Linked DNA regions of Coturnix japonica. The protein of the gene in region 2 purifies or fractionates together with the protein of the main gene of each other region. This does not show direct contact. Links are inferred from orthologs where the notes say so. Each region holds a gene or a part of one and is shown on either strand. Other genes may lie near its edges. The genes, in order: COPS7A, COPS3, BTBD2, CUL5, CUL4A and CUL4B.

Evidence for each region.
Region 1: the proteins of COPS3 (region 2) and COPS7A purify together in Homo sapiens (affinity purification with mass spectrometry; 14 studies listed by BioGRID and IntAct, counting the BioPlex papers as one, with this or other methods). This does not show direct contact. The link is inferred for Coturnix japonica from reciprocal best matches to the Homo sapiens genes COPS3 and COPS7A.
Region 3: the proteins of COPS3 (region 2) and BTBD2 purify together in Homo sapiens (affinity purification with mass spectrometry; 3 studies listed by BioGRID and IntAct, counting the BioPlex papers as one, with this or other methods). This does not show direct contact. The link is inferred for Coturnix japonica from reciprocal best matches to the Homo sapiens genes COPS3 and BTBD2.
Region 4: the proteins of COPS3 (region 2) and CUL5 purify together in Homo sapiens (affinity purification with mass spectrometry; 3 studies listed by BioGRID and IntAct, with this or other methods). This does not show direct contact. The link is inferred for Coturnix japonica from reciprocal best matches to the Homo sapiens genes COPS3 and CUL5.
Region 5: the proteins of COPS3 (region 2) and CUL4A purify together in Homo sapiens (affinity purification with mass spectrometry; 10 studies listed by BioGRID and IntAct, counting the BioPlex papers as one, with this or other methods). This does not show direct contact. The link is inferred for Coturnix japonica from reciprocal best matches to the Homo sapiens genes COPS3 and CUL4A.
Region 6: the proteins of COPS3 (region 2) and CUL4B purify together in Homo sapiens (affinity purification with mass spectrometry; 11 studies listed by BioGRID and IntAct, counting the BioPlex papers as one, with this or other methods). This does not show direct contact. The link is inferred for Coturnix japonica from reciprocal best matches to the Homo sapiens genes COPS3 and CUL4B.

The regions. Positions count from the first base shown.
Region 1 is NC_029516.1:69,465,905-69,471,314, reverse strand, and holds COPS7A (COP9 signalosome complex subunit 7a), read right to left. Parts: upstream 3,138-5,410; 5' UTR 3,041-3,137; coding exon 2,879-3,040; intron 2,775-2,878; coding exon 2,699-2,774; intron 2,296-2,698; coding exon 2,207-2,295; intron 2,132-2,206; coding exon 1,929-2,131; intron 1,464-1,928; coding exon 1,358-1,463; intron 1,061-1,357; coding exon 909-1,060; intron 634-908; coding exon 594-633; 3' UTR 576-593; exon of another isoform or gene 249-575; 3' UTR 18-248; downstream 1-17.
Region 2 is NC_029529.1:4,774,974-4,779,643, forward strand, and holds part of COPS3 (COP9 signalosome complex subunit 3), read right to left. Parts: intron 4,473-4,670; coding exon 4,343-4,472; intron 3,488-4,342; coding exon 3,375-3,487; intron 3,270-3,374; coding exon 3,220-3,269; intron 2,470-3,219; exon of another isoform or gene 2,402-2,469; coding exon 2,309-2,401; intron 1,591-2,308; coding exon 1,411-1,590; intron 211-1,410; coding exon 70-210; intron 1-69. UniProt on the Homo sapiens protein: Component of the COP9 signalosome complex (CSN), a complex involved in various cellular and developmental processes.
Region 3 is NC_029543.1:1,316,817-1,322,091, reverse strand, and holds the start of BTBD2 (BTB/POZ domain-containing protein 2), read right to left. Parts: upstream 3,538-5,275; 5' UTR 3,527-3,537; coding exon 2,973-3,526; intron 329-2,972; coding exon 209-328; intron 1-208.
Region 4 is NC_029516.1:161,331,865-161,337,029, reverse strand, and holds the start of CUL5 (cullin-5), read left to right. Parts: upstream 1-1,679; 5' UTR 1,680-1,961; coding exon 1,962-1,985; intron 1,986-5,165. UniProt on the Homo sapiens protein: Core component of multiple cullin-5-RING E3 ubiquitin-protein ligase complexes (ECS complexes, also named CRL5 complexes), which mediate the ubiquitination and subsequent proteasomal degradation of target proteins.
Region 5 is NC_029516.1:123,871,159-123,875,828, reverse strand, and holds part of CUL4A (cullin-4A), read left to right. Parts: intron 1-2,775; coding exon 2,776-2,948; intron 2,949-3,743; coding exon 3,744-3,896; intron 3,897-4,463; coding exon 4,464-4,559; 3' UTR 4,560-4,670. UniProt on the Homo sapiens protein: Core component of multiple cullin-RING-based E3 ubiquitin-protein ligase complexes which mediate the ubiquitination of target proteins. As a scaffold protein may contribute to catalysis through positioning of the substrate and the ubiquitin-conjugating enzyme.
Region 6 is NC_029519.1:15,291,699-15,296,891, reverse strand, and holds the start of CUL4B (cullin-4B), read right to left. Parts: upstream 3,572-5,193; 5' UTR 3,506-3,571; coding exon 3,493-3,505; intron 2,773-3,492; coding exon 2,263-2,772; intron 1-2,262. Other genes in the region: MCTS1 (malignant T-cell-amplified sequence 1), read left to right, coding at 4,909-4,919, 5,144-5,193.

The DNA.
Region 1 (5,410 bases), on a different chromosome or scaffold from region 2:
CAACAAAGGAGCACGAGTTTGTATAGATATGTCCATAGATCTATATTTTTATTGTTTATATATTTATTTATAATATATTTATATTCTTTTAAAAGAATCCCTTCAAAAAACTACCCTCCCACCTAGCAAAACAAAGATTAAACAATCCAAGATGGCAGCTGCATCCTGGAACGAGGTGTCCCAGGGGTCTCAGAGAGCCAAAATGATTGCTGAGCACCAGTGCACTCTTCCCAAGCTTCTGTGATGCCCTACAGATGCAAAGGTGACAGACGGACTGTTATGACTCTATAAATTGACCTGTCAAAAGGCGGGGAGAGAGAAAGAAATGGGATTGTGGTGATGGAACCTTGAGGGGTAGGGGAAAACAGCAATGCATTCAACTGGAAGCTTAGAGTGTGAAATGTCATGATTAAAAGGTGGGAAGCACTGCCCAGAAAGGAAGTGAAGAAGACAGAAAAGAGTACATGCAGGAGAATTAGTTGGCAAGACAGATCTCAGAGATGAGCTCAGAAGCATCACACTTAGTAGATGGAGGGGTAGCAAGAGTCCCAAGTCTCTTCCTCTCACCCTCCCACCTGTGAAGGGAGATCCAACTAGTTTGATTTAGACCAAATCTTCGCACTGCCCCGGAGCCTGCGGAGAGAGGAAGAAGTTTTAGACTGGACACTAAACTTCATCTCTGACTTCCTTTTCTAAGCGTACACAGAGAACAGCTGGCATTCAGGGAAGGCTTATGAACTGTGCTTCAGATCAAGAGCTGCACCCCCTGAATTAGCCAGAGGTGGAGGTCAGCTTGGACCATTCCAGGCCTGGGGTGTAGACCCCTGCAGTGACCTCAGTGCTACAAAACAGAACTCCCCTCAACACACATTAGGCAGTGGCTACGTTTGTTTGCCACCATTCCTCACCCTTTGGCTTTGGAAGTCTTCTTGCTGGTCTGGCGCTGGTTGGTGCCAGGGGCAGGTTCCCTGAGCTCTGTGAGGTGCTGTTCTGGGTCTTGAGAGGTGGCTGCTGCAGCAGCTGCTGTTGTCACTTTAATTGTCTTCTTCAGATTCGCCACCTGCAACAGCAGTAAAACAAGAACCAAGGAATTTCTCAAGTTATTATCTTTTTTTCCTCCTCCCTTTTATTTTGTCCAGAGCTTTGCACTGCTGAGAAGTGCTTAAGTGACTCCCAATTCTTCCTCAAGCATAACTACCCCGGAGGGTTTCAGCCTAGGGTAATGCCTTAGCCCTATATAGTATATATACTATACTATAGCCCTCGAACAAGGGCTATAGTAACAACAGGGTATTGGTTCCACTCTTTCTTTAAGCAAGGGGTAATGCCTCCTCCTCTCCCTCTTCAGCCCACTCACCTCACTCTCTATCTGCTGCTTAAGTGCCAGCTGTTGTTCTTTGTGTTGGTTGGCTCGGCTAACCTGTTCTTCAATGCCAGACAAGACAACCTCGCAGCCCTGGCACCTGTAGAGAAAATGTTAAGCTGAACAGGACAGGTAATTGGTACTGCAGGGAAAGAAACATGAAGATGACTGGTTGAACTGTAAAGACCAATAAAACCTGGAAGGTAACAGCTACTCTAGGCAGGGTAGGCACAGGGGTGGCAGTCCAAAGCAATAATGTAGTGACATTATTACCTAGGAGGGAGACACATAACAAAGCGGCACTAGGTTAAGAGCTACAGATGTATACTCAGAAAGACTCTTGCCAGCAGCTGGAGCTGGATGCAAAAACTGCTGCTCCTTTCCTCACCCCTCCAATGTGGAAGAACGTTGGATAGTGGAAACTATTTTCCACTGCCATTTGGGAAAGGAGACAGAGGTCACTTTGCTACGCTGCCCCCCAGCAACACACAAAGGATGATCTGGTGAAGCCCCTGACCACTCCTGCAACCTTTGAAGGTGTTAGTATGGGCGGCTTCCTCCTCACCACTCCTGCAATGTGCGGGTGATGGTGCTTAGCTCCTCCCTCCGGATGTCCCTCCCAATGCTGTAATCCACCTCCAGGCGTTGGTTCCGCTGATCCAAGCTCCCTCGCAGCACATCTGCATACACCGCCTCGATCACGAGGTCCTCTAGCTGCCGGACGTTCTTCAGCTGTAACTGCTCCAGCAGCACCGAATAGGGGATGCACTGCAGAGACATGATGGTAACTAACACAAGGTAAACTCAGAAGAAGGAAAACTAGAGGTAAAATAGGGGCATTACCTTGATCTTTGCAGCCAGAGTGACGACCGACAGGTGCCTCAGTTTGTTCTTCTGAGCCTCTGTCAGGGGAGGGAGGTTTGCTGCTTCAGCTGTTGCCAAAGGGAAGGACGGGGCATTAGAATTTATACCTCATGTTCTATTTCCCAGTCCCGCAACGGAAGCATTTGCCCCAGTCCCATTTCTCAGAACTGCATCACAACGGCTCCCAAAGTGATGCTTTGTCTTAGCAGGCCGTCACCATTAATCCACAGCTCAAAGGACCTTCACTGAGCAGCCTCTCCTCCGTTTGAAGCCACCTCCCCAAGCTGTCCCACACCTTATTTATGGAGACCTCTACATCCCAATGAATCCCCCAGTCCTCCCCCCACCCCTCGCAAACACCATTGCCCAGATGTTTTTGGACCCCTCCATGGCCTCCTCGGCCTCACGCCCAAACCCAACCTCGCTCCCAGCTCTGCGGCTTAGGGCACGATTCCCCAAGCCCGACCTCACCCAGGTAGTCGGCGTAGGTGCCGTAGGCGAAGATGGTGAGCAGGTGGAAGACAGGAGAGAACTCGGAGTCGGCCAGCTGCGGGACAGAAGGCGAGTCAGGCCACACCGCGGCCCAGGCCCAGCCGCGGGCAGGGCAGGGCAGGGCACACGGCACAGGGCAGGGCACAGGGCAGGGCTCACCTCGCGTACGGCCGGCATATCCAGCAGCTCCCCGAAGACGTAGATACCCGGGGCCTCCAGCACCTGATGGATGAGGCTGGCGAGCGCGGCGCCGCGGGCGGCCTTGGCCAGCAGCAGGAACTGCTCCTGGCTCTGCCCCGTCACCTTCCCCTCGGCCGCCATCCCGCTGCCGGGCACTCGGCCCCGCCGCGCTGGCGTCCCGCAGGCCCCGGCCCCGCCACCGGGCGCCACCTCCAGCCCGCCCCGAGCCCTCTCCTCTATGGCGGCGCCGTCGCAGCCCGCCCGCTTCCGGGTGTGACGCCGGGCGGGCAGAGTTTGGGGCGCCCCCTGTCGGAGGAGGACTGCGCGGTGCAGCGGGCAGCTCACGGTCCTGGCCCGGGGTTGCCGTCCCGTCCCGGCCCCGCTGGGCTCCTCGGAGCTCGGGGCCGGGCTGGAGCTCGGTCTGTACGCTGAGGCTGCCGGCGTGAGGGGAGCGGCGCTGGGAGGGCCGAGGTGGAAGGCTGAGTTATAATGGTGGCGGCCCCGCCGCTCGGCTGGAGGTCACTCGCCGCTCACAGTATCGCTGTGGCTGGGGCTGTGGGGAAGGGCTGTGATAGATAGCGAGGCCTGCGGTGCTCCTTACGGCGGAATGAAGGAGGAGAAGGGCTGACAAGGTGAAGCAGGGCAGCATCAGTGCAAGGTACAACCACCACCTTCCTGCCTTCACCTCCCTGTCCGTGTGCTTCACCACGCCCTGACACCTGACGCACCCACCTACAGCGGGGCAGGTTGTGTTCTGACCAGGTCTAAGTGTAGCCCTGCTGCTCTGTAGCATGTCTTGCTCTCTCCCCCACCCCCTCACCAGCTCCTTCCATCTCAGTTTTATCTCCCTATCGATCTGTTTCTCTCACACTCTCTGACACGCTTGCTGCCTTTCATTATTAGTTCGATAAAGCGAAGCAGCCCGAGCATCCCAGCTGCAGCAGCCTCCCTCTGCACCGACCCCGGGTCTTGTGTGCTCTTTGCTGGGTCACCACAGTGTTTCTTCTCTTTTGTCCTGCACGGAGCTAAAATAAGGGCAAGGAATGAATCACTACCCGAGCTCCCTTAATGAGAAGGCCATCATCATCTCTGAATATGCAACCACTCGTGTGAGCGCACGGTGTCTTGCCCATAACTTAGCAAAGTCTTTGTTCATCCTTAGATGCAAAATCAAACTGGCTTGTCAAAACGCTGCCAATATTTTGATCTCTAGCCCTTCCCCAAACATAGTCCAGATCTGTGATGATTTTTCACAACTCTATGCCACAGAGTCCTGGGCAAAAAGCTTGTAAGGACGAGGGAGGATGGGGCAAATCTCTTTGCCAGACAACGTGATGGGGAAAGTTTTTAACCACGTAACTTGTACTAGGTTAACACACAGGGTGGTAAGACCTGTGCCTAGTTACATCTAGGGCAGCCTCACACCTATTGCTCACAAAGGAGTTTAAGAGGACGGTGCCTGCGCAGTAACTCTTATTCCCATGTACTCTCACAGCCCTCGGGAATTTGCAGATCAGGACAGACAGCCTCCAGTCATGATTCTCCAGCAGAGAAAGGACCTTTCACATCACATGGTGGCTCGTGTCTGCAATAAGGCATTCTCCAGCGACCGGCTCTTGTTTATTCTCTGCCAGAATACCTGCTATGCTTTTCTCCAGGAAGGAAGTCGTGCTGTAGTCAGGTCGTGTCTCTTTCTGCTTTTTGATAAGTTAAACAGGTTGACCTCCTTAAATCACTGAGATCTGCGGCCTTCAGGTCATCTTTGATTCAAAGTTATTTTTAAAGCATGAATTTCAGCATTGCCCAGGTCACAGAGTGGCCTGATCATCTCCCTTCTTCTCCTAAGTCTTGTCTTTGCACGGCCAGGCACTTCTACAGCATTGTCCACAGGGATTGTGCTGTTTGTTTGTTTGTTTTCTGTCTGATTCCTTTGAAGATCACCTTTTTATTTTCAGCACTGAAAGTTGTTCACTGTAGACGTGGTCTTATCTATTTCATGGCCATCTTTTCCTTTTCATTGCTCTCATCTGGCTTACAGGAAGTTTTATGAGAGTGACCTCCTTAGCAGTGCAACAGGTCATTCTGCACTGGCCCTACCCTCGTTATTTTTAGCACTAACAATATTTGTGTCTTCAGCAAACTGTGTCAGAATAAAACATGGCTGCTCACCAAGCGCTGAATTAAATGGTGACTCACTCTGGACCCAGGACTCATACCTGGACATCTGCATCAGAAACTGTCGCTCATTGGGGGGCTTCCAAGGATGGGCCTTTTGCATTTGGTTCAACACAGTTCCATTTAATCTCCTTCTCTGTTAATGTTGTGTAATGCTGTTTTTTCCTCACCAGATTGTTTTGGGATATTAATGCTACCAGAAGCCTAAATAGATCTGAGCCATCACCTATTCCAAATAAACCTGAAGGCACATCAAAGACTAACAAGAACAAAAAAGAAGTTTATGCAGCAAGATCAGTCTCCTTCAAATCAGGCTGATTGGCATTAGCTGGAGAA
Region 2 (4,670 bases):
ATGCTTGCAATATGGTTTTTATTACCCACATGCATTGCTCTATGATTCAGCTGCTTTTGCAAGACTTACCTTAATGAACCTACCAACTATCTGGGAAGTGTATTTTGGTAGCTGTTGAACTTTGCCAAGTAGTATCAAAGAAACTAGAATATACTTTTTATATGATTCCAACATAATATGACTAACTGCCATGGCTGGAGTAGTTATTGCCTAAGCAAGAGAGAAAGAAATGAAACAAGTTTAATATTCTCATTGGTAAAATGCAGTAGCTGCATTAACAACATCTCAGTTTAAACCTGCATGCACAAAGGATGCGCTGACACATTAGATTCACTCCTGAGTGTTACAGCTTAACTTGTGTCAAAAGTAACTATCTAAAACATACTAAAAAAACAAACAACTAAAGTTCTATATGAAGTACTCAAAACGTCATATATTACAGTAATGCCTAACTTAAAAAGCCCTGTTAAGATCAAAGCAAAATTTCTTTGTTTTATATGTATCTAACATTGGACTGTAAATCACCAGTGGCTACTAGTAACAAGGAATGATCCCATGAAAGCTGAATTTGCACACATCCTTACAAGGATTTCATAAGAGATATCATGCAACCTCTTATTTAACCATGATGGAAGAGGCTTGCAGAACAGTAAGCAGCAATTTTAGTTCACCCCAATATTGCTACTCAACAGCCTACCTGGCCTTATAAACAAATGCTGCACTAGTTTATTTTGCACATTTGACAAAGTTTTTCCTCACTGAGTTCCTTGAATTTTGCCATTCTCTCTTCTTTCAAAGAAGAAATAAAACAATCCTTATTATAACAGGCACGAACTGTAACTTCCATCAAAAAATTAGAAAAGCTGAGAAGCAAAGCCATCGTGCTCTTTGAAAAGACACAGTTCTGAGTACCAGCCTGTTTCTAGGCGAGCAGTAATAAGCGGGCACTTGAAAATATTTATAGTGAGATAAATTTAACATCAACCTTTGAGTTGCATAGCTTTATGGTGCATTAGTTGCTTGGCTGTGACTTTCTAAGAAGATAACACTTCTAAATTCAGTTTGTTACTTCACTCTGTACACCAAGAGCACCATTTAGTCTATACTCCTTATGAAACAGCTGATAAATAAAAATGAACCCCAATCGGTTTTATACACAGTTACAATGCACACAGATAGAAAAGCAAATCCAACGTGAATGATGGACAGAAGTACAGGTCTATTAATAGAACTGCATCCTAAAGGTTAAGAACAAAAATAATCAGACTGTTTGTATTTTATACAAGGTACACAGCTTTCTATTCTGTCCTTCGTGGCAATTCAGAGATGACTCATTATCCCAGTGGCATTATATGTGCCATTTTTGCTTTTCAATGCACCACAATTGAGGCTGATCAGTTTTAAAGTTACCTGTTCGTAGAAGTAGAGTGCTCTTTCAAAGTTCTTTAGCCCAGTGTATATCATCCCACCATAGTAGTAATAACATAAAAAGTGCTTTGCATCGTATGCCCCATTTTCTTTACAAATATCCATCATGTCCACATCTAGATATGGGAGGGCAGGTTTAAAGCATTTTGCTAACAAACAGAGCTACAAGAAAACAAATCAAGTTTCTTAAATTAGCTATTTCAAATACCCACAAAGATGACATTGAAATTCAATTCATGTAGTAGTATTTAGTATGCCTCACTCCTCTGAGAGTTAAAGAAACAGTATGTATGTCACAGTAGAGGCATAACATGGATTATACATCGTATTGTGGTATTTGGAAAAAAAACAGATTGTAAACTTCTGGAAATTATGTGAATCCTAAAGAAATCAGACTAAGCGACAAAGCAGCCTGAAACTCCAGGCCTTCCAAACTACCGTGCTGGCAGCACAAAATATTGCACTCAACATTCTCATCCAATTCTAAGTCCCAGGAGCCAAGAATGAGACAGGAGTGCAAATCCAGGCCAAAGACACAGAGACAAACATGCCTTTTGTCAGACTCGAGCAAACAGTATTTGGCCAGTACACTTACACTGTCTAAGAGAAGCTGTGCACAACTTCCAGCCCATAGAGAAGGACTTTCAGAAGTCATGAACAAAACTAAAATCTAGAGACAAGTGCTGAACATTTAATAGGAAGAGAAGGGAGTTTTATTTCAGTATACCACATAACAGACTACTGGAAAAGAATTAAAAAAACCAACATCACAAAACCTAAAGCTTTCTTTACACTGCAATACATGAACATGCATTTATCAAACAGCTACAGGTACTCTACAAGCTTTCACCCTCAGAAAAAAGCCCCGTGTTCCTCTTACCTGGCAGAGATCTGCATGTATTGAGGTCAGCTGGTTTGTGTTCATCTGCATCTTGTCTATGGCTTGTCTGAGAATGCTAATTCCTCGAAGGGGCTGTCAGAAATTACATCTCTTTCAGATAATTTCTCATAGATGGCAGCACATTGGATCTTATGTTGACACTTACAAATGAAAAATAACACTAATTGACAGGTTCCGTTAAGTAATGATTAACTTGTGGTTCCCTTTTTGTAGGACATTGCAGTCACTCAGAAAACACAATAAGCCCATGGTATGTAACTTCTCCTGATCAACTAAACAAGGTCACCAATTCTGCTCCACAAAGACAAGTTCACCAGGAAAACAGTAAACTGTTCTGAGTAAACCTTTTATTGACTCCATGAGTCCATCTAAATTCCTAGCAAATAAAGGCAAATCTCCCACTTCACTTAGTCCAGATTTGATCTCTTCATTCAAGCCAGATTTAACTTACTTTTCCAAGACATTTTCAACACCTAACCCCTAAAAAGAAATGTCCCCTACACTTTAAGGCATTTCATTAAGAACATTGTGTAAGATTGGTGAGAAGAACGCTGAAACATCTCTCTGACTCATTGGCTCTATTAGTTTTTGCAGCTCCCCTCTACTCATGCACACACACCATCTGAATAACAACCCTGGTACACCTGATTTCATGGTGTGAGAGCATGTTTTTAGCTAACTTCCCCCCACATTTTAACTTATATTTTCTTTAAAGAGGTTTTAAAATCGTCTTTTAAGTTCATTACTGCTCAGTAGACTTAACTTACATAAGGAGTCACACAAAAATAGTTTACATGAAGTTAGCAGTAAACCTTTATGAAGCAAGTAATGTCCTTTTTAAGAACATAGCTTTGTAGGCTCCGTATTTGTATTAGATGATATTTGCTCACCTGTTTTCTCTCCACAAGAGCATTTGTTAACTGGTGGCACAGGCCAGCAACTAAACAGAGAAAACAAAAGAATTCAGTAAAACAAGACTACCAATAATACCAACCTATTATCAATATATAAAAAGATTTTTCTATAACAAGCTGAATTAACTTACAAGTGTCTGTTGCATATCTAATGTGTTCCCCATTACAAGTACTGATGAAGAGCTGCACTTGTGAGAATAATGTTTCGAAATCGGGGATGCTGGGCATAGAAAACTTCACAAACCTAAAACAAGACCAAAAAAAGTTTAACACATAACATTCAGAGATTAATTAAAGAAAACCAAAATGTTTTATCTTCAGTCTCTGCAGATACAGGTAACTGCTTGCAAGAAGCGCCAAAGTGGTCACGACAGATGGCATATGATTTCCCCAAGAGCTGCACAGCACTTGGAAGTACACTCTCAATGCATAGTTCTACTATGAATCTAATTAAAAACTAGGTAGGAACTAGCTATGAACAAAGACCTCTTTACCTGCTACAATTATAATCACAATAAATATCTAACAGTGAAGTTTTTAAACTAAACCACATAACTTCTCCAGACACCCACTTGAATGTACCACAGATTTATCAACTATTACTTGATTAGACTTCTATGTCTTGCTAAGAGCTCTTTCTCTTCACTTTCACTTTCTCTCCATCCCTGCTGGTTCCTCAGCACCCTACAAGCTGTAGAGTTCCACGGTGCTTCTCCCATGAGTTGTGATTACACTACCTGTGTGCAATGAGAACTCTGCACGTGGCTTCATGCTTACAGTTTGGCTCACTCATGTCCTGCCAATTAGAAGTCCTGTACTTTTTTGCTGAAGGTAAAAACACTCATACAGGCATAAACGAGAAACAGATACAGCCTTAAGGAAAAAAATCACCATTTGGAAGTGATGATATTTTACAGGCTCCACATTTTTTTTCTGTTGAAAGCACAAATTTGCTTAAACATTTCTTCTAATAAAAGATATATGACTAAAGGAAACTAAGCACTATTCTGCAAGAGACTGAAGAGGCTTGGTTGGCAATTCAGCATGTAGCTTGAAGTTTTGATGCTGTAATGGTTAATTAACAGAAAGCCATGCTTACAAGACAGCAAGAACTCCTAATGAGTGTTCCTGCACATCCAGGGCTCCAAGCACTGTATCCAGATGGGAGAGGTTTTTTGCTAGCAGTTCTCCGCTCTTATTGATCAGCTCACAAAGCTGGGTCATTTGCCCTGAAATAAAAAGCATCCTTGTCAGAGTCCAGTTAAAAAACACACATGCATTCCCATGCTTCATTACACCGAATCCCAATAAAATAAAACAAATGAGGATAACATAGAATCACCCACACAACTGATTGCTCTGCAGTATGTTAGGCACCAGTTCTCAAAAAATAAGGTGGCAGAGAAGCTTCTGACAGCAAAGGAAAC
Region 3 (5,275 bases), on a different chromosome or scaffold from region 2:
CAGATATTTCTGGGCATCAGCTGGACCAGATGTTACCCAGAAAAGAGGGATTTAGCAGCAGCGTTTAAAGCCCTCAGACGGATTGGCAGAGAGGTTTATTTAGAAACATACGACCTCCAGCTCACAGAATGGTTCAGTGCTTTCATTGGAAGCACTCCTCTCTACAATCAATCCAGCCATCCCGGTGTGACGTGCATTAGCAGCTTACTTCAGCAGAGCCAGGAAGGCAGCGGGCTCCACGTCGGGCAGCTCGATCTCTGTGGAAGTTGTGGCCATCCCACCATTGAACATGGCATCGAAGACGGCGCTGCCCACAGCCAGCACAAACCTAAAACCACAAAACAAAGCCCAAAAAGCTGATGTTAAACCAGGCTCATACACACAGAAATCCCAACTGGCTGCTGGTCCCCAGGGGCTCCCCAAGGGAGGGGAGCTGCTGACAGCATGTTTTGCAAGAGAAGGGAACGTCACTGTTTTCTTTCATTTAATGAGAAAACACCAGTGTTGCAAACAACCTGAGCCCTGCAGACAGCATCCCAGTGGTTCACAAGGTTTTGTGCATGGTGGAGCAGAACGCATGCAGCTGCTCTGAATGTAGGAAGCAAGGATTCCCACAAACCAGGTTTGAGGCTGAAAAGAACCCGGTGTGAACACGGTGCCATCCCTCACCAACAACCACCAGCTCCTGCTCCAGGGGCAGGCACAGAGCTGGGCTGCTGTTATTGAAACCACTGCCAAGCACCTCTGAGAACTGCTGGGAAGGCAGAGCTGGGCTTCCCCAGGGAAGCACTTGGGTCCTGGTGGATGTGCTCAGCTGTTCCCTGAAGCCAAGGCACTGAGCAGCCACCAGCAGTGGGGAAGCAAAGACTCCAACTAATTCCCTGACCCATTATGGAAAGGAAGAAGCTGGGAAGCACGGCAGCTCCCAGTGCAGCAGAGCTGGGTGCACGCTTCGATGGAGAGAGGTAGAAGGCGGTACGTGACGGAAGGCACGAGGCACAACGCTCCGGCTCTCGGGCTCCCAGGAAGTCCATTGCCACCAGGGAGCTCTGGTTGGAGTTTACTGCGGTAGGAAGTGACACAGCAGCTTTTTTATTCCTCCTCGGTTTCCATCCAGTTTCTTGCTTGGTCCCTTGCTGCTCTGTCCCCCATGCACAAGGCTCCCACGGGTGCAGTGCTGTGCCAGGCAGCATTGCTTGTGTTGGGAAGGAGAGCTGGGGACAAAGCACGGCAGGAAGGAAAGCACAAGAGGCACATTCTGCGACGATGGTGAGACAGTTGCAGGCTCTACTTCCTACTAACAATTAACATCAACTAATTGCACTCTAAGTTTGCCATTCTCATAGGCAACACAGAGCAGAGTGATCTGAAAGGGGTGTTTGCATGAAAGAAGCTCTCCAATCTCTACTCCCATTCCACTCATGGAAAGGCCGGTCCGGTTTGTTTCACATTGCTGAACCCAAATGGGAAAGACACAACAGTGCTCCAAACTCTGCAAGATCAGAGATTTTTCAGTTTCCTTACAGCACGAGAGGGACACGAGGTAAGAAAACCCCTCTCTATGTGGCATCTCCTTCCCCTTGCTAAGGAGCACCCAGCTCAGCTCTGTGCCCACAGCACCACGGTAACACCAACAACAGAACACTGCAGAGCCACAACCACCCCACAGCTGCAGAGAAACCCCAAAATACCCATCCTGGAAACCCCAAAATACCCATCCTGACACAGGAACAGAGCGACACGTGTGTCATTAAGCTCTATGCAGTCCCTGTGTGGGATGTCATGGCATGGCACGCTCTGTTCTACCTTCACCGCCCAGGGATCACAGAGCAATTAAGGAGTGTTTCACTTTGGGGCTGTTCTCATCTATGGGCTGAGTGCCCCCATACATGGCTCTTCCCACATCCCAACCCATCCCGCTCCCCCACCCCATTCTGGGCCCTACATACAGCTCTCCCCTCACCTTCACACTCTAACCATGACTTTCCCCATTTCTCCCCTCCGTTCCCCCCATACCTCCTCTAGGGCCTATTCAAGGCTCTCCCCTCACCTCCAGACCCCAAACATGGATATCCCCACATCCCACTCCCCACACCCACAGCCCTCCCCATCCCCTCTATGCCCCCAACCCAAGGGCTTACACATGGCCCTCACCTTCACAACCTAAACCAGGCTCTCCCCTCTCCACCCCCAGCAATCCACGTCCTTCCCTTTACCTTCAGCCCCTAAACACAGCTCTCCCCTTAGGGCCCTCCTCATCATCCCATAACCTACCCACAGTCCTGCCCTCACCATCATACCCTACACATGGCTCTTCCCTCACCTTCAGACCCTAAATGTGGCCCTCCCCACCTCACCTACACCTCCACAACCTAAACCCATCCCATTGCCCTCCCCATCTCCCTACATCCCCCTTAGGGCCTACCCACGGCTCTCCCTATACCTACACACCCTAAACCCGGCTCTCTCCACACCCCACTCCCTCTATGCACCCCCCAGGGCCTACACTCGGCTCTCACCTCCACAACCCAAACACAGCCCCCCATATCCCCCTATATCCCCTATACATCCCCTTTAAGGCCTCCCACCCCCTTATATCCCCTATACATCCCCTTTAAGGCCTCCCACCCCCTATTATCCCCTTATTAGCAATTCCCCGGTTTAAGGGCCTTCCACAGCCCCCGCCATATGCCCCCCTATTATCCCCTATACATCCCCTTTAAGGCCTCCCACCCCCCTATATCCCCTATACATCCCCTTTAAGGCCTCCCACCCCCCCATATCCCCCCTATATCCCCTATACATCCCTTTAAGGCCTCCCACCCCCTATATCCCCTATACATCCCTTTAAGGGCTCACCCCCGTATATCCCTATAATCCCCTTTAAGGCCTCCACCCCCCTATATCCCCGATATACATCCCCTTTAAGGCCTCCCCACGGCTCTCCCCCCCCTCAGGCCTGCTCTCCCCACCTGTGTGCCGGGATGCGCTGCGTCCCTCGGCCTTTCCCCACCAGGAAATGCACGTCGCTCAGCACCTCGTTATTGAAGAGAAAAGCGAATCGTTCCTGCACCGTCGGTTTAGTCGCCTGCCAATTATACACCGGTTCTCTTTGCAGCCCTCCGCCCGGAGGGGCCGCCCCCACTCCCAGGCCTCCTCCTCCTCCTCCTCCAGCCGTCGCCGTAGGGTTGTTGGCTCCGCACTGGTTATAGGTGAGTCCCGTTGGAGATGCTGGGGTTCCTTCGGAAGCGGCTGAGGCGGCACAGGCCGCTCCGTTCCCCGGGGGAGGCGGTGGGGGTTGAGGGCAGGATGAGGACAGACCCCCGGGGCCGCTCCCGCCGGCCGCCATCTTGTGCGGAGCGCGGCTCGGCGCGGGGCGGCGCTGCAGGAGCAGCAGCACCACAAGAGGCGGGCGGGACACGGCGGCGGGATGGAACGGGGAGAAGGAGATAGAGGAAGGGATGGAGGGGATGGGGGCGGCGGTGGGACGGGGGGAGAGGAACAGAGCGGGGCAGCACCGCGGCATGGAGGGGAAGGGAGGAGGGGGAAAGGGGTGAGGGGAGGGGCGGGGCGAAGGCGGGGGAGTGAGGGGAGGGGGCGGTTCTGAGGGGAGGGGGGGGCAGATGTGAGGGGGAAAGGGGCAGATGTGAGGTAAAAGGGGCAGATTTGAGGTAAAAGAGGTAGATTTGAGGGCATAGGTGTAGATTTGAGGTAAAAGGGGCAGATTTGAGGTAAAAGGGGTAGATGTGAGGGGAAAGGGGTAGATTTGAGGTAAAAGAGGTAGATTTGAGGTAAAAGGGGCAGATTTGAGGTGAAAGGGGTAGATTTGAGGTAAAATGGGTAGATTTGAGGGCACAGGGGCAGATAGGGGAGGGGTGGGCAGTTGTGAGGGGTATGAGGGGCAGATTTGAGGTAAAAGAGGTAGATTTGAGGTAAAAGGGGTAGATTTGAGGTAAAAGGGGTAGATTTGAGGTAAAAGGGGTAGATTTGAGGGGAAAGGGGCAGATAGGGGAGGGGTGGGCAGTTGTGAGGGGTGTGAGGGGCAGATTTGAGGTAAAAGAGGTAGATTTGAGGTAAAAGGGGCAGATTTGAGGGGAAAAGGGTAGATTTGAGGTAAAAGGGGTAGATTTGAGGGGAAAGGGGCAGATAGGGGAGGGGTGGGCAGTTGTGAGGGGTGTGAGGGGTAGATTTGAGGTAAAAGGGGTAGATTTGAGGTAAAAGGGGCAGATTTGAGGGCATAGGGGCAGATAGGGGGGGGTGGGCAGTTGTGAGGGGTGTGAGGGGCAGAATTGAGGTAAAAGGGGCAGATTTGAATAAAAGGGGTAGATGTGAGGGGAAAGGGGTAGATAGGGGAGGGGTGGGCAGTTGTGAAGGGAGAATGGGAGGTTGTGAGGGAGATAAGTGGCTCTGAGGGGCAGTTCTGGGGTCTGGGGCAGATCTGAGGGGTCTGAGGGGCAGATGTGAGGGGAAAGGGGCAGATTTGAGGGCACAGGGGGAGATAGGGGAGGGGTGGGAAGCAAACACACAGTGCTGGTGCATCCCTCCACTGCAGCAGTGCACTGCCTGCCCCTCTGCTGCCACACGGAGCTGTACCTGGTATAGGGTCGGAGCTTTGAAACCCTGCACAGCTGAGGGACCTCATGGGATCGATCTCTGTGGCTGCAACACACCGGTGTGGATGGACGGCTTTGCTGCAGTGCACACCCGGCAGGTTTCTGCTGCATTATCCTAATTGGGGGGAACTCCCATTACCCACAGCTATGCTAGTGCCCAGAGCCGGCCATTAACTGACCCTTCTGCATGCAGGAATGCACGGCAGCCTCGAGAGGGAAGCTGCTTTACCTCTGAAATCTTCCTGCTATGACTGATAACCGAGCACTGAACATGGACACACAAACACCTTCTCCTTGCATCACGTCGCAGCCTTACACCCCTTTTGCTGGCGGAGCTGCTTTCCATGCATTTCAGCGTTGGTTTTTTCACTCAAAGCTGTGTTTTTTCGCTCTGTCCTCCTTGTGTTTAGCTGCAAACATCAGAGGGAGCTGCAGGCTGCTGCTTGGCCCTGTATGGACACTGCATGGAGCAAGCAGCCTTTGGTCACTGTGCAGGCAGCTAATTAGAGCCCTGCGTGCAATGAAACAAATGAAAATGAGTCATTTTGTGGCCTGATGGTTACAAGGCAGGTCGATGGAAGGAAGCCCAGGAGAGAAGGGATCGTATGGACAGTGGAGGAATGTGCTCGGGGTGCTGTCACACCCATGAAGGGGTGCAGAAA
Region 4 (5,165 bases), on a different chromosome or scaffold from region 2:
TGACATTACAGAATAAATCACTTTATAACTTAGTGCTATGGAACAGCCCAAATTCATTCAGTTCAAACAGTGTCTAAGCAAAATCTGCAGTTATGAAATTCTAATGACTTGCATTGTGGTTTTGTACTCTAAGCTCTGCACCAAAGAGAACCAGGAGGAAGTTCTCCATGGAGCACTATTTCTGGCACATTTCTGTTTGGTTGGTTGGTTTTTTTTCTGGGTAAATGATGTCTAATTTCTTCCACACAAAAAGAAAGTTGAAAAACATCACCAAATAGTGGCATTATAACCAAGCATGTTCTTAAAAATTAAGAGAGGTGATAGAAACAGAAAGGAAAACCGAATCTCAAATAATTGCAAATAGTCTCATTTCAAAAGAGCTTGAGGAAAAGAGGATGGACCAGGTCATGGGGCAGTGGCCAGAGATGTCTACATCCACACCACAGCCTATAGAATACCTGCCTGTATCTCAGCTTCTCTGGTTCACAGACAAAGGTACCTGTAATGCAGTACTCACACTGTGCTTAATGCACACATACACAATGCACACATTCTACTGACCTTGCCAGAGACCTCATAATATCAGCACTGCTGTGGAATATGTACACAATGGACAGTATGTGATACACTTCCATCTGTATTATCTAGTTATATACAATACATACCATTGTATAGTTGCATGCTTTATGTATACAATGAATATTGCATATATACTTAAATGAAAGTTATATTTATTCCATATAACAGACTTATTGAAGTATTCTGAGACTGGAAACTTTGTCAAATAAGAAACTTTCCAGTACCTCTGTGTTACTTCTCAGTTAGGAGAAGGCCTTGATTAGGCTATTTATTAATATAATAAGGCTGCAGGCCTTAGTTAGTCAACACTACTTAAATTTTCAGAGAGCAGAGATTTGTTGAATGTTGAATGTAGCTTTTCTATGTAGCTAACACCTTAGGGGCTCTATGCCTTACAGTGTGCGGGGTGACCTCATTGCAGCCTTTCAGTACCTGAAGGGACACTTCCCAGGAGGGAGTAAACTCTTCGAAAGGGCTGACAATAGCAGGACACGGAAAATGGATCCAAGTTAAGAGGGAAGATTTAGGTTGGATGTTAGGGGAGGTTCTTTACTAGAGAGATGTGGTTAGGCCCTGGAACAGGCTGCCCAGGGAGTTGTGGATGCCCCGTCCTTGTGGGTGTTTACAGACACAGGTTGGACGGGCCCTGGGCAACCTGATCTAGTTAAAGGTTATGTTTGGTGGCCCTGCCAGGCAGGGGGGTTGGAACTACATGATCCTTGAGGTCCCTTCAACCCGGGTCATTCTGTGATTCTGTGTAAGCAGAGGGAGGTGTAGGGCTCTGTCCTGAGAGGTCAGAGGAAAGTTGAATTGTTTTCTTTAAGATACGTTTTGGATGAAGGATGCCTTTTTAAACAGGAAAGTAAAATTATGGCTCCTATGGCCACACGCTGAAGAATCACCGAACAGAAAAGCTGGGAAGCCTGAAGGGTCCATGAGGAAAAGCGCCCACCCCCCCGGGCGCCCTCAGCTGGGGGAGCGCTCTCGGGGGTCGGCGGCGGCCAGGGGTCGCTGCAGGCGGAGCTCCCGCCCGGGCCTCCCTCCGCGCTTGGCGGCGGGGCCGGCTCGGCGGCGCCGCATCATGTGGGCCGGCCCCTTCCATGGAGCCGGGGCTGCTGCCGAGCGCCTCCTGGGCGGACGCCGCCATGAGGCTCTGAGGGGCGGCTGCGTGCGGAGGAGCCACCCGGTAGAGCTGCGGAGCGCCCCGAGCACGGTGCCGGCCTCGCCCCCGGGCAGGGGAACCCGGAGCTGCGGCCGCTGCTCCTGCTGCCGCCGCCGCGGGTCGGGCCGGGCGGGCGGGCGGCCCGCGGCCATGTAAAGCGGCGGCGGCCGGGGCAGAGCCGAGCACGGGGAGAGGAGCCGCCGTCGGCGGGGGGGAGATCATGGCGACGTCTAATCTCTTAAAGGTGAGAGCGGGGCCCGGCCCGGCCCTGCGCGCGGGGAGAGGCGGCCGGGGCCGGGCTCTGGGGCTGCCCCGCACCGGCTGGGCCTGCGGGCGGCGGCACGGGCAGGCCGCGGCGCTGCGCCCCGGGCGGAGGGGGCGGCCCGGGCCCGGCCTCGGCTGTGCGGCTCGGGGCTCGGCTCGGGGCTCGGCTCGGGGCCCGGCCGGGCCGTGGCCTCCCGCTCCCGGCTCTGTCCGCCCGGGCTGCAGGACGGGGTCGGCCCTTTGTTTATTGCGGGGAACCCCGCGGTGCAGAAAAGGAGTTTAGAGTTGAACAAAGAGTTGGGCAATGCCTTCGCCGCGAGCAGGTGTCGCCGGTCGGGTTGCCGGCGCGTTCTGGCCTTTTCCTTTCTGCTAACTGCGCTTTGCTGCGAAGGAAAAACTCCTCGAGGCCTTTAATCGGCTCCGCTTTGGGGGTCAGATGTTCTCAGGCCCGTTCCCGGTGTTTGGTGGCAGATGTCACTCACCCCAAACCGAGCCAAGTTCGCACACAAGTTTTGGCTGTCACAGGCCGTGCCCGGCCCGGGGCTGCCCGGCCTGAGCTGGGCGGCGTGTGCGGGGACCGGGCCTTCTGTGGCCTCCAGGGCTGTGCCAACGTGCCCGGGGCCGGCCTGCCCCACACAGCTGCTCCTGGGGCGTCAGCCTGATTGAGGTGCGAGGCCTTCACAAGGCACCAGGTTTACTTACTTGCAGCAGTTAGCACTATAAAATGGCTGTATATTTAGAAGTGTATGTGTGGCCGGTTCTATGTATTATACTTAAGTAGAGTTCTGAGGAGGTGCTGCTTGCATTTCGCCAACCTGACCTGTGCTGGGTTTGTGGGTTTGCCCTGAAGCTGTTCTGAGACACTCAGTGAGAAGGAAAGAGGAATAATCAATAGCCTCATGTCTTCCTCACGCACATATACACACGCTCATATATATATAAATTTATTGAAATTGACATGCAATGAAAATGAGTTTTCATTCAATTTTCCTCCCTGTTGTCTAGATATTAAAGCAGATAAGACCAAACCGACTGAATTCAGGACTGCAGGAGAAAAGCTCCACGTCCCGCTCAGAGCTATAGGGGCAAAAAGGGGGTTTCTTTAGGAGAGCGTGGCTTTAAAGCTTGGACAAGCTCAGACAATGTGTCTGCTTGTTATTGCTTTAGTCCACTGCTGAGGGGCTCTGGAAAGGCCTATGTGTGCTGTGACAAGACGTGGCTGTATAGCTTGTAATAGCTGGAAACAGGCCTGTGAGATCTGTCAGCATTCCTCTTCAGCTCATAGGAAAGAATAAGTGAATGCTAAGTGCAAATAGAGTCAAAGGCCTTGCTGTTGTGAGATGGCTCTCACTGATCTGAAGCTGTTTTGTTGCTGTAGTGGCATCCCTGCAGTTGGCCTTTAAATCATTAGCATTTTAAATGGACAGAAAGATACACGTGCACAGTGTGTTTCCGGAACAATGCTACCAGGGGGTTTAGAGCACCTGGGAGTATTTTCTAAGCCGTATGTCTTATTAATTAGGGAGTTTTCTAAAGACAATGAACTACGACTGTTGCCTCGTGAAAGAGAAGGTCATACAGTGATTTGGCTTTGTTTGTAATGACACACTAAACCAATAAGATAATTGTGACTGGATAAGGGCTTTTGTTCCCCAGCTGTGATGCTCAGTGTGCTCCCATTGCTGTTGATTGCAGGTTGTTGCCCATTGGCAGTGCCTTATGCTGACTGAGATTTGTGAAATGCAATTCTGCTTTCATGTTTAGGGCAAAGAAAGAATAAAAAAAGAAAGAAAAAGCAAACAGTGTCCTCTGCATAGTGAAAACGTATCAGGTTTTTTGGTATTAAAAACAAAACCCCAACACACGATCAAACCCACGTCAGGTTTAGGCGGGTCTCAGTTTTGTTGGGATAAACAGGAACTGAGAGTTTGCTGCTTTTCCCCGTCTTCCCTCAACCTTCTGCACAGCCGAGAAAATGAAGTGAAATGCTCCTTTCTTACTCTTGTAGTGAATCCTGGCTGAGCCGATCCCTGACAGCCTCTCATCCCTTCACAGGGCGTCGCTTCATCTTTGCTAGTGCAGTTTTTAATTGTGAAAGGTGAATTAATTTGTAGGGCAGGTGTTGGAGCGTCAGCTGTTGGCTTTGAGGTGACGATTGGTGATGTGAAGGCACACGGGTTTCTCTGCAGCTCCTGGGACAGAAAGCGGCTCAGCTTATCACAGCGCCAAGGAAACCTGTAGCTGTACCCACGTGAGCTGGTCTTGATGCTTCTGTAGGGCTTGTTGGAGCTGCTGGAGGTGGCAGCAAATGCAAGAGTTGGTGAGAGCAAGTTGAATTGCAGTCTGAGCCTGGTGTTAGGGGGGAGGCAGCAAAACAAGTAGGTTTGCAGTAGGCTTAAATGAGAACCATGATCTACCTTTCATTTGTTTCAGCTGTGTTTTGTGGGTCGTAGTGCTCTGTCACTTAAAACTGGAAACATTTCTGCATTTTTCTAGTTCTTCAACCTAAAATATTTCCAGATACGTTAAGTTTCTCCTGCCTATTTCCAATTAGAGCAGCTTGTGGTGAATGCTGCGTTCCACGTAGTTGCACAGCGGAGCTTTCCCCATGGCTGTCTTTCTGCTTTGTGTAATGGCTTTGCTATGATCATCTCACTGATATTTAGAGCTGCTGGGAGCAGAGAGGAATCAGAATGGGAATTCTGCTTACTGTAGGCTGGGACCTCATCTGTCCTACCTCATTCCTTCTGAATTAGCCTTAATATACAATGACTGTAAACAGCTCAGTAGTAAAAGCACAGACATATGGAAATGTACTCAGTGATGGAGGATGCTGCATTTTCACAGTACTGCGCGGTGCATCTGATGGAGATCAATACTCTATGTGGCCTATAGTATTGAGTGTACACAGTAAAAAGCATTGGGTGGCTGAGTGAATGTTTCAAGTACAGAGGAACAGCAGCACGGAGACCGCTGGGGCCTGCCTGGCCTGGCAGCCTCGCTCTCCTCATCCCTAGGCTGGCTCCTGGTGTGTTCTGCATTTATTTAGGACCTCACTCCACACTCTGTGCCTGTTCCTGCTCTGCTTCTCTTCACCTTTATTTTTACAGAGTGGAGATTGGTGTTATGCAGTAGGACCCACGTCAGGAGAGCTGTTGGT
Region 5 (4,670 bases), on a different chromosome or scaffold from region 2:
TGTGGGCCTCTTAGAGGCATCATGAATAATGTGCAGGAGTGAGATGTAAAGCATTTGGGATTTTCCAATGTTAGAAAAATCTGTTGGGTAACTCTGGTAATCTCCCTTCTCCTATTGGAACTTTCACAGCGGTTCCTCAGGCTTCTCAGTCAGTGTATCCCCAGCTCCTTTGCTGACTGCAGCAGGAGATGGAGCCAACCAGATCAGTATTTTTGTGGTCTACCTGAGAGTCATACTGAAGCTAATATGAAGAGACTATCAGTTTGTGTGGCAGAAGCCAGTGAGATGGTATGACTCATAGCTTTCAATTGTTTGAGGAAAGCACTTCACACAGTAAAGCTGAGCAATCTGCATTCCTCTCTGCACTTGGTAGGAGAGCACAGCCACAGGACAGAGCATCAGTTAATTCATATCAGTCAGTTGTGATCCTACTATGTGTGCTATACAGAGGTGAAAATGGTATCTTCTGTGATTCTGCTATTCAGACTCTTAGTCATTTATGCAGTTTCTGTATTAGCTACATTGCTGGATTTACAGGTTTGTTTTCTAAACGGCCTGTACTTAAAGTAGGTGAGTGTCTGGGTTTCTAAACTCCTGGGCATTGAAATAACCAGAAGACTGGTCACTATCTGTGTTATAGACTTTGTCTATTGCGTCTTTAAGTCCCATTTAACACCAAATGTCTACACTGTTCTGGGACAAAACATGGACTGTCGCCACATTTACACACAACCCCACCCACCCCAAAGATATCCCATTTGTCTTCACATCCCTTTGTCTTTATCCATATAGAACATAGAATCATAGAACAGCCCAAGTTGCAAGGGACCCACAAGGATTCAGTTCCTTTCCCACACAGGAGCACTCAAAAAAACAAACCCTGTGTCTGTGGGTGTTTCCTTGAATGCTGACAGCATGGTGCTGTGCCTGCGCACCAAAAGACTTCAGCCTCTCCTCACACACCCTACAGACCTCTCCCCACTTTCACAGCCATCCTTTGGACACTCTAACAATGTTATATCCTTACATTTTGGAACCCACATACAGTGCAGAGTAGGACAGCCCTCCTCACCTGGCAGCAGTGCTGGGCCTGGTGCACCTCAGGGCACGGTTGGCCCTTTGGGCTGGCAGGGCTCACTGCTGGCTCACATTCAACGTCCTACTAGCCACAGCCCCCAAGATCCTTTTGTATGGGGCTGCTTCCTAGTCCCTCAACCCATCCATACATTAAGATCAAGGGAATAACAACAGCATACGGCACCATACAGAAAATATAAATGATTAAAATGTGCCACATAAAAGTAATATAAAAATAAAAGATTAGGAACCTCAACAGTATGCTACCTATGAAGAATTAATTAGGTAAAGCTGGGACTTTTGTTTTGCACTCACAGTTAGGATAAATTATACCCGGTCTCTTTAGAAGATACGAGATTGCTGCTGATAGACTGATATAGTTAGAAAATATATCAACTGACACCCAGAGAAAGAGTGGTTACCTGCTCTTTGGTTGCTGTGCTTCTTTGAGACATACTGTCCAAATATATTCCAGTTTTTCCTGCCTTTCTCATTATTGAGAAAGCCTCTCTGAAATAAATGCGTTTCCTGCTTTTCCTTGCATGATTGAAAGGCAATTTTGAGTTCCTTGCCCTTTGGCACTCTGTGACCTGCAGTTTCACACGCACAGCAGAAGCAAAGCTCTGGAGGGTACTGGGGTTTGTAATGGCAGCCTTGCACAGTGGCATGGGTTCTATTTGGGCAAAAACACATCAGCAGTCTGCATTTACTGAAAGTGAAAAGCCTAAAAAGTGTGAAACAGGGTTTTTTAATAATGAAAGAATATATGGAAGATGTTCTGTTGAGTTGTTGAACATCATTCTGTGTGAACATGTAAGCTAAAGTATTTTAGAAATAACAAGCATTCCACTTTAGCTCATCCATTCCGTGCAGTTCAGCACTGCATTGCAAAACGTTTGTTTTAACTTGTAGACTTTTTGGATCTGAAACATTTGGTGCTAATTTTGTGTTATGAGTAAAAGTATTCCAGAGACCGCAGAGACTGTTTTAATGCCAAATCCTGAGACGTCTTTGCAAGATAATTACTAGAATGTTTTAGGCTTCATTTATCTACTCGTCCAAGTGCTTTTAGCTTTAAATCTTAATAGATAAAATTTCCTTTGCCCGCTTGTTTCCACTCCTTTCCTATTGTGGAGAAGTTTAATGGATATAATAGCTGTCAGCGGCACCTTCTGAGCTGATAGAAAGATGTTTGGTAAGACTTCTCTCCTATTTTCTTCTTTGTTTTTCATTTGTGTTTATATTTGCATCTGATGTATAAAAAAAGCAATGAAATCACCTAAAATGAGTGGTTTAATTTTCTTGTTGTGATCAGCTGATTTTTCTATCGATGTCCTGTTACTGCCAAACAAATCTGCAGCGATAACACCAGGCTTGTGTTGCCGAGATATTGTTTTTCTGACACTGCTGCTAGATAGAAGCTTTGTTGAGGTGATCCCTATGTTCCTGTCAGGTCTGTATTCTTAACTTGTGCAGCTCTGTGCACACTTGCAGTGCACACACTCAGCACTTACCTATGAGATGCGTGAGGCCAAGCTTGAAGGCTGTATGCTGTTGTGTAATCAGAACTTAGCTTGGAAGAACACATTAATATAAAAACCAGTAATTTTTTTTCATTCTATGCCTAATTTAATTGCATTAAACTTTTCATACTAATGTTTTGCTCTCTTTTCTCCTATACTTTGAATTTGTTCACAGAGGACAGTGAATTAAGAAGAACCTTGCAGTCTCTAGCTTGTGGGAAAGCACGAGTACTGATTAAAAATCCAAAGGGCAAGGATGTAGAAGATGGAGACAAATTCATCTTTAATGGTGATTTCAAGCATAAATTGTTTAGAATAAAGATCAATCAAATCCAGATGAAAGAAACAGTATGTATTTATTTTTGCATTCATTCTGGTTAACTGTTTATCCATGTCCCACGTGGAGAGACAGAATCTCTGCATTTCCTCTCATAGCTTTTGTATTATTAGAAGGGAAATGTACTTTAATTTTTTGGTAGGGAGGATGACTCACTGATTGTAAATCCCACTGAAATCAAAACAATTCAGATTCCTTCCTTTGCCTACAAAATCAAATGCTATTATATTGAACTGATGGTGTGGTCTTGCAGATGTTTTGTGTCTTACAAGTTTTCATGGTACAGCTGAAGAGCTGTTACTACATTGAACTCATGACTCAACTGTCACTGTGTCACTTTTCTTTATTACGAGGGCAAGAAGGCTATTAAAAGGTCAGGGTTGTCCCCTCGTTTGTAGTGGATGTCCTTGTTTTACTCAATTCCCAGTTCTGGATGCAAGATGATACGTTTTAATTAGTATTGAGTTGTTCCCTTTTGGCCTTTGTCTGTGAAAATTAAAAAGTAGGTTCGAGTTGAGCAGTTTTGTGCAGAAGACAGTGTTTAGACTGTCAAATTCTTGTGTGTTCTTCTGAAAATATGAAGGGAGTTCTTATAAGTTGGTTTATCAGATTTAAAATATGACGTGATCTTTATTTAGATCTTTAATTTTATATTTGACTTGCTTCAGCAGCACACTTCAGAATCACTTAGTTCTTAGCAAGCAGTAATGTATGTAACTGTCCCGTAGGCAATAAAACTACAGAAATATCGTGGATAAAATGATAGCAATAAAAGGTGATACTTGTGGTTTCATATTGTTCTTTAGGTCGAGGAACAGGTTAGCACAACTGAAAGAGTATTTCAAGACAGACAATATCAGATTGATGCTGCCATTGTACGAATAATGAAGATGAGAAAGACTCTCGGTCACAATCTCCTTGTTTCTGAATTGTACAACCAACTGAAATTCCCAGTAAAGGTAATGGATTTTGTTTTTCAGACCATCCTAGGATTAAGTATTAGAATGAGCCAAGGTATCAGAAGTGACGTATCGGCCAATTAACCTGACTTATCCCTCGACTGTCCAGGGGAGAGACACGAACATGGATGCCATGATGTCTTCTCTCAATTTATTGCTGCATCACACTCCTTATATACGATCCTAAATCCCGCGCAGATGCGTACACCTGCTACACAAAACCCAATGCACACGAGAGAACCTGTACACACACCTACCTAAACCCCCCACCCACTAACTCTTAACCCACAGGCCTAACTCAGCTATTCTAGAACACTCCATCTACTCAGAACTACTGTATGCACTCATAAATCCTTGCAAAGACAACCTAGTACCCCAACACAGAAGAAAACAGTTTACCCATTTAGTGTGGCTCATTTTCTTAATGTAGTTTTTAGCTGTCCTGTTTTTTGTTGTTGTTTTGTTTTCATCTGTGAGGTTTTTGTTTGTTTTGGTGGAGGCTTTTTAAATAAAATAGATTGGAATTCGTATGATTAACTGTTCTACTGATCTCATCTTTTCTTGAAGCCTGGAGACTTGAAAAAGAGGATCGAATCTCTCATTGACAGAGACTATATGGAGAGAGACAAAGACAACCCCAATCAGTACCACTACGTTGCATAACGAAGAGGAAATACATATCCAAAAAAAAAACCAAACAACCACAAAAAGAAAAAAACATCATCCAAATATATCTTCAGGACAACAAATACTTATGCTGTTCAGGACTTTATT
Region 6 (5,193 bases), on a different chromosome or scaffold from region 2:
GGGATACGGAGTCGTGCACAGCATATTTCTAATTAAATATATAATTTCAACTCTGCGTTAATATTTGGAAAGAAACTCCCAAGTAATGTGCATAGAAATACTTAGTTTAATACAGGCTTTATGGTCACGAGGAAAAATCTCTGGATTTCTAACTAATCTATTTATGTTTCTCTTGGGTTTGGCCAGAGGATATTTGTAGAGTTAAGGCCTCTTCTAATGCTCGTATAGCTCAAGTGTTTGCAGATTTTCCAGAGGCTCTGCTACGCAGTGCCCACAACAAGACCAAAGCAATTACCACAGCATGAAAAAGATCACCCATGTCACATCCTCAGAAAACCAAGACTGCTTTAAAATGATGTGTTCTCAAGCTCACTCAAATGACCCCTTCTGCTGGGTCATAGAATTTCCCAAATGGAGATGGGAAAAGGAGAAAAATCGGGAAGTCAGATGCATATCCTTGTCACCAACAAGTGAAGTTGACTGCACTCTAATGGACTTTGCAAACTTAAAGGTAAAAACCAACAGCAACAACAACAAACCCCACCAAACACCTCAAAGCTTTATCATTTCTCTTGGGGATAAAAAAAAATAATCCTTCTTCTGTTTACTTCCCCCTCCCAAACATTTCCCTACAGTAATGGCAATATCCCAACACTGACTGTACCGTACAGAGACAACTCGCTACAACTGGGACTTGCTCATTTCCACTAGCCTGCAATGAATACGACATACAGGAGTAAATAGCAACATACTGAATCTTAGGAAGATGTAAAGGACGTGTATTGCTATCGCAGACAAAAGCACACTACGATTATTAGTCATCTTGGCATATGAGCATAAATAAAAACCAGAGATGCAGATTCTCAAGACATTCTTTTTAAGGAAGTGATTCCAAGAGCAATTTATAAGCAATGATGATTGCAGCTCCATGTCATCCCTGGCATGTAGTTAATATTTTCAATGTGAAAAGTTGCCTTCTCTTAAAAATAACAAAGTACATGCAGTGGCAGCATTTATTTCTTGCCATCATGCACCCTAAGTACAAGGTTTTAAGGCAACCAAATTAACAGATGGTGACATGGCAGCACGGGAAACAGACTGGGAACATTCTTGAGAATTAAGTAGTCCTTAAAGCAAAAAGTCACACTGGAACATTACAGTGGCTCAGGTAATCCTTAATCCTCACCTTCTGTGCTATCTCTACAGCACATTTGTATCAACCGCCTCTTTAGAAATACGTTTTAATCTCTGTCAGACCTTTAAGCCCTCTCTTCTCCCACCCAAACATAAGAAGAAAAACAAAACCACTCAGGAAAGTAAGTTCTTGAATTACTTTGAAAGGGAAGAATGGACTAACAAGAAAATCTCACAATTCTCAGACGTTTTTTAGGATAAAAACTACAGAATTTTAGCTAGGATCGCTGCCTTCACCTAGTTCAATTTTGTTCATTAGAATATCATGCTGAATTCACATCAGAAAGCTTCATTTCCCTGCTTCAGTTGATCTCAAGTAACAACATTGGAAAAGCTCCACCATGTTGGTTGAGAAACTACAAAACAATGTAAATTTGAAAAGAAAAAAAAAAAAGGAAGAGCATATTAAAGTAGAAAAGATGCTAAAAAATTAAGCAATAAGCACAGCAGTGATGATACTGCAAGAAAAATAACCTGCAAAAGTCTGAACTACCTACTCTGAAGTCAAGTAGGAGAAGCAGAAAGGAAATCCGCCTTAAGAGCTGGATAATCACCTTAGTTTCAACATTTAAAACTAAGCACAAGCGGATTAACCTACAAACAGACAAAATACACGTGGGCAAGACATGGAGATTCAAGTCTTTTTTTTTTTTAAGGATACTTTGCAAAGACTTACCATAAACAAGGCTAAAATATACTGTATACCCTGAGTCTGGGTTACTGGAAAAGTGCTTTCAAACCTCAGAAGTTTGATCAAAGGTGATTTACACACTTAGGCAGTAAAATGTTTCCTTCAAGATACTAGAAAGGGCCTTCTCCTCAACAGAGTGAATGCAGTCAGAACAATAAGCCCAAGCAGGGAAGTCTGGCTCAGATGTGCACGTGATCGGGCAAGGACGCATCATCAACATAACCCCCCTTTACATAAGTCTAAGAATGTTTACCACAAAAAAGCATTTCCTGTAAAACCTGGAGCTATTTGAAAGCCAACCAGGTTTTCATGTTGAAAACAAAACACAGAGTTGAGCGGCAGCTCCGCAGAGATTGTGAGGAATTATGGTCTGTTACCTTTAAAGTTCTTGATCACTAATTTCTTAGCGGAGCCAGGTTTACTGTTGGCGAAACTGGACACAGTAGAGGAGGCAGCTTTGGTCAGGCCGTTGGCATGGTGCCCTACGGCCACTGAAGAAATTAAAAGGCTTTTATTTTTGAGCTGCTGTTGGTGCTGCTGTTGAGAAGAGGCAGCGGGAGAGGAGGAGGAAGAAGACTCTTCAGCCATCTTCACATCGAGTCCGATAAAATCCAAGGAGTCCTCAAAGCGCAGCTTCTTCTGGAGGTGATGGTTGGAGGAGGCGACCCCCGAGGAGGAGCACGAAGAGGCGGTGATGACTAAAGAAGACGAGGAGGAGTTGTTTTTGGAAGGAGATGACGAGCAGGAGGAAATGGAATCGAATTCCTCTCTTTCAGAGTTGCTATTATTTAACTTTCTCTTCTTGCAGGAGGAGCTGCTGCCGCTACTACCATCAGTGGCGGGCCTGACCTCCTGAGCTGCAGTGGAGGGGTTGGGGGAAGAGAAACCTGTGGGAAACATGAACACACAGAAATGAGCAGGCTGACGGGCATCAAATCCTGGCAGCGCGACAAAGAGGACAGAGCTCTTCCGTCAGCCTCCGGTGGCGTCTCTCAGCGGAGTCTTTTAACTCCTCTCTCCTTATCGACACAGTCCCTCGGTATTCCCCCTCCTTCTCCTTCTTATCCCTCGGAGGAAACACCGGATCTCCTTCTCTTTGTGACTCCGTTTCTCTTCGCGGCTCTCCTCCGTCTCCCGCCCTCAAAGCAGCGCTTCCTCCCCCACCTCCGTCCACCCTCGGGCTCTTCTCAGCGCCGTTCTCCGGCCCCAGCGGTTCCCCGCCGCCCCGCCACCTCTGCTCGGCCGAGCGGGGCCAACAGCGCCCCGGCCTCAGCGCCCTCAGCGCGGCCCCCGCCGCCCGCTCCTCCGCAGGGCTCCCGCCCGCCCCTCTCCGCTGCCGGGGCGCTGCCGGGGCGGCCGGGCCCGGTGCTTGTTATTGTCACTCCAGGCGGGGAAGGGAGCCTAAAGATGGCGGCGCATCCGCTCGCTGTGCATGCCGGGGCGCGGCCGCCCGACGGGCCCCGCTTCGGCCCCGCGGTCCCAGCGGCGCGGCCCTGCCCGCCGGGTTCCGCCCTTCCTCCCTCCCGCCCGCTCGTCCCGCCGCTCCCTCGCGCTGCCCCGCAGCCAACGCCTCAACACGGCCGCCGGCTGCCTGCCCTCTGACCTACCGGAAGTGATCATGGTTGCCGGCCGCTATAACGGCCGCCCGCCGGAACCCTCGCGCGCCGGCGCAGGGCGGGGCCTATGAGGGGCGTGGCCTATAGGGGGCGTGGCCTATGGCGGCGCCGTTGTGGCTGAGGCCGGCGTTGTGCGCATGCGCGGTGCGGGCGCAGTGCCGTGCGTGGTTCGTGAGGGGTTTGTTCGGTGTTTGAGTCCTGAACCGGCTGTATCACAGCGCTTAAATAGACTGTGCCACGCGTGGAAGCTTGGCTGAACGTTGTGTGGATGCTATGTATCGCGGTTGATTTGATATAGAAAAGGTGCTCGGATGGTGGCCTGATCTTTCATGCCGGTGACTCTGAAGCCTTTGGGAGCAGAGCGCGGTGTCAGCACGTTCCATCACAGCATCACACCGCCCTATGGATGAGCACGGCCCTTCCTCGGCTGTACTGCGAGACAGCCGCATCCTGCTTTGCCATCCATGCACATGCACAGAGACACAGCGCGTTCCATTCACAGAATCACAGAATGTCCCGGGTTGGAAGGGACCTCAAGGATCATGTAGTTCCAACCCCCCTGCCTGGCAGGGCCACCAAACATACACCTTTACTAGATCAGGTTGCCCAGGGCCCCGTCCAACCTGGTCTTGAACACCTCCAAGGACGGGGCATCCACAACCTCCCTGGGCAGCCTGTTCCAGGGCCGAACCACTCTCCTAGTGAAGAATTTCCCCCTAACATCCAACCTAAATCTTCCCTCTTTTAACTTAAAACCATTTCCCCTAGTCCTGCTATTATCAGCCCTTTCGAAGAGTTTACTCCCCTCCTGGGAGTAAGTTCCCTTCAGGTACTGAAAGGCTGCAATGAGGTCACCTCGCAACCTTCTCTTCTCCAGGCTGAACAAACCCAACTCCCTCAGCCTGTCCTCATAGGGGAGGTGCTCCAGCCCCCTGATCATCTTCGTGGCCCTCCTCTGGACCCTTTCCAAAATCTCCATGTATTTCTTGTACTGAGGGCTACACACCTGGACACAGTACTCCAGATGGGGCCTCACAAGAGCCGAGTAGAGAGCGACGATCACCTCCCTATCCCTGCTGACCACCCCTCTCCTGATGGAGCCCAGGATCCCATTTGCTTTCCGTGCTGCCAGTGCGCACTGCTGGCTCACGTTAAGTTTCTCATCTATCAGGACCCCCAGGTCGTTCTCAGCCGATCTGCTCTCAATGACCACTCCTCCCAGCCTCAGCAGTTCCGTTGTCATACAGCGGCGCGACATGCCGTAAAGCGCGCGGCGTTTCCGGCTGGCGCTGGAGGGGGAGGGCCGGGACCTCGTGTGAGGGAGCGCGGAGTCCCGGCAGCCCGCCCCGCGCCCGCCGGTCCACGCCCGGCACAGGATCTCGCTGTCCCGGCTCCCACCGTCCCAGGATGTTCAAAAAGTGAGTGGGGTTGGTTGGGCTGATTGTAGGAGGCCGCTATGGGCCCTGTGAGTGCGCTCGGCCGGGCCCGGCGCTCCGTCCGCCTCAGCAATAGGGCCGGGGCCGGCGTCACGGCTCTTGTAAGCTTGTATCTCAAAGTTGGGCACATTATGTTGTTAATATCTGTAAACGTTACGTCGTTTGGGCAGCTAATTCAGTGTTTCTGAAATGTTTTTGCTCGGCAGATTTGATGAAAAGGAGAACGTATCGAACTGTATCCAGCTGAAGACTTCAG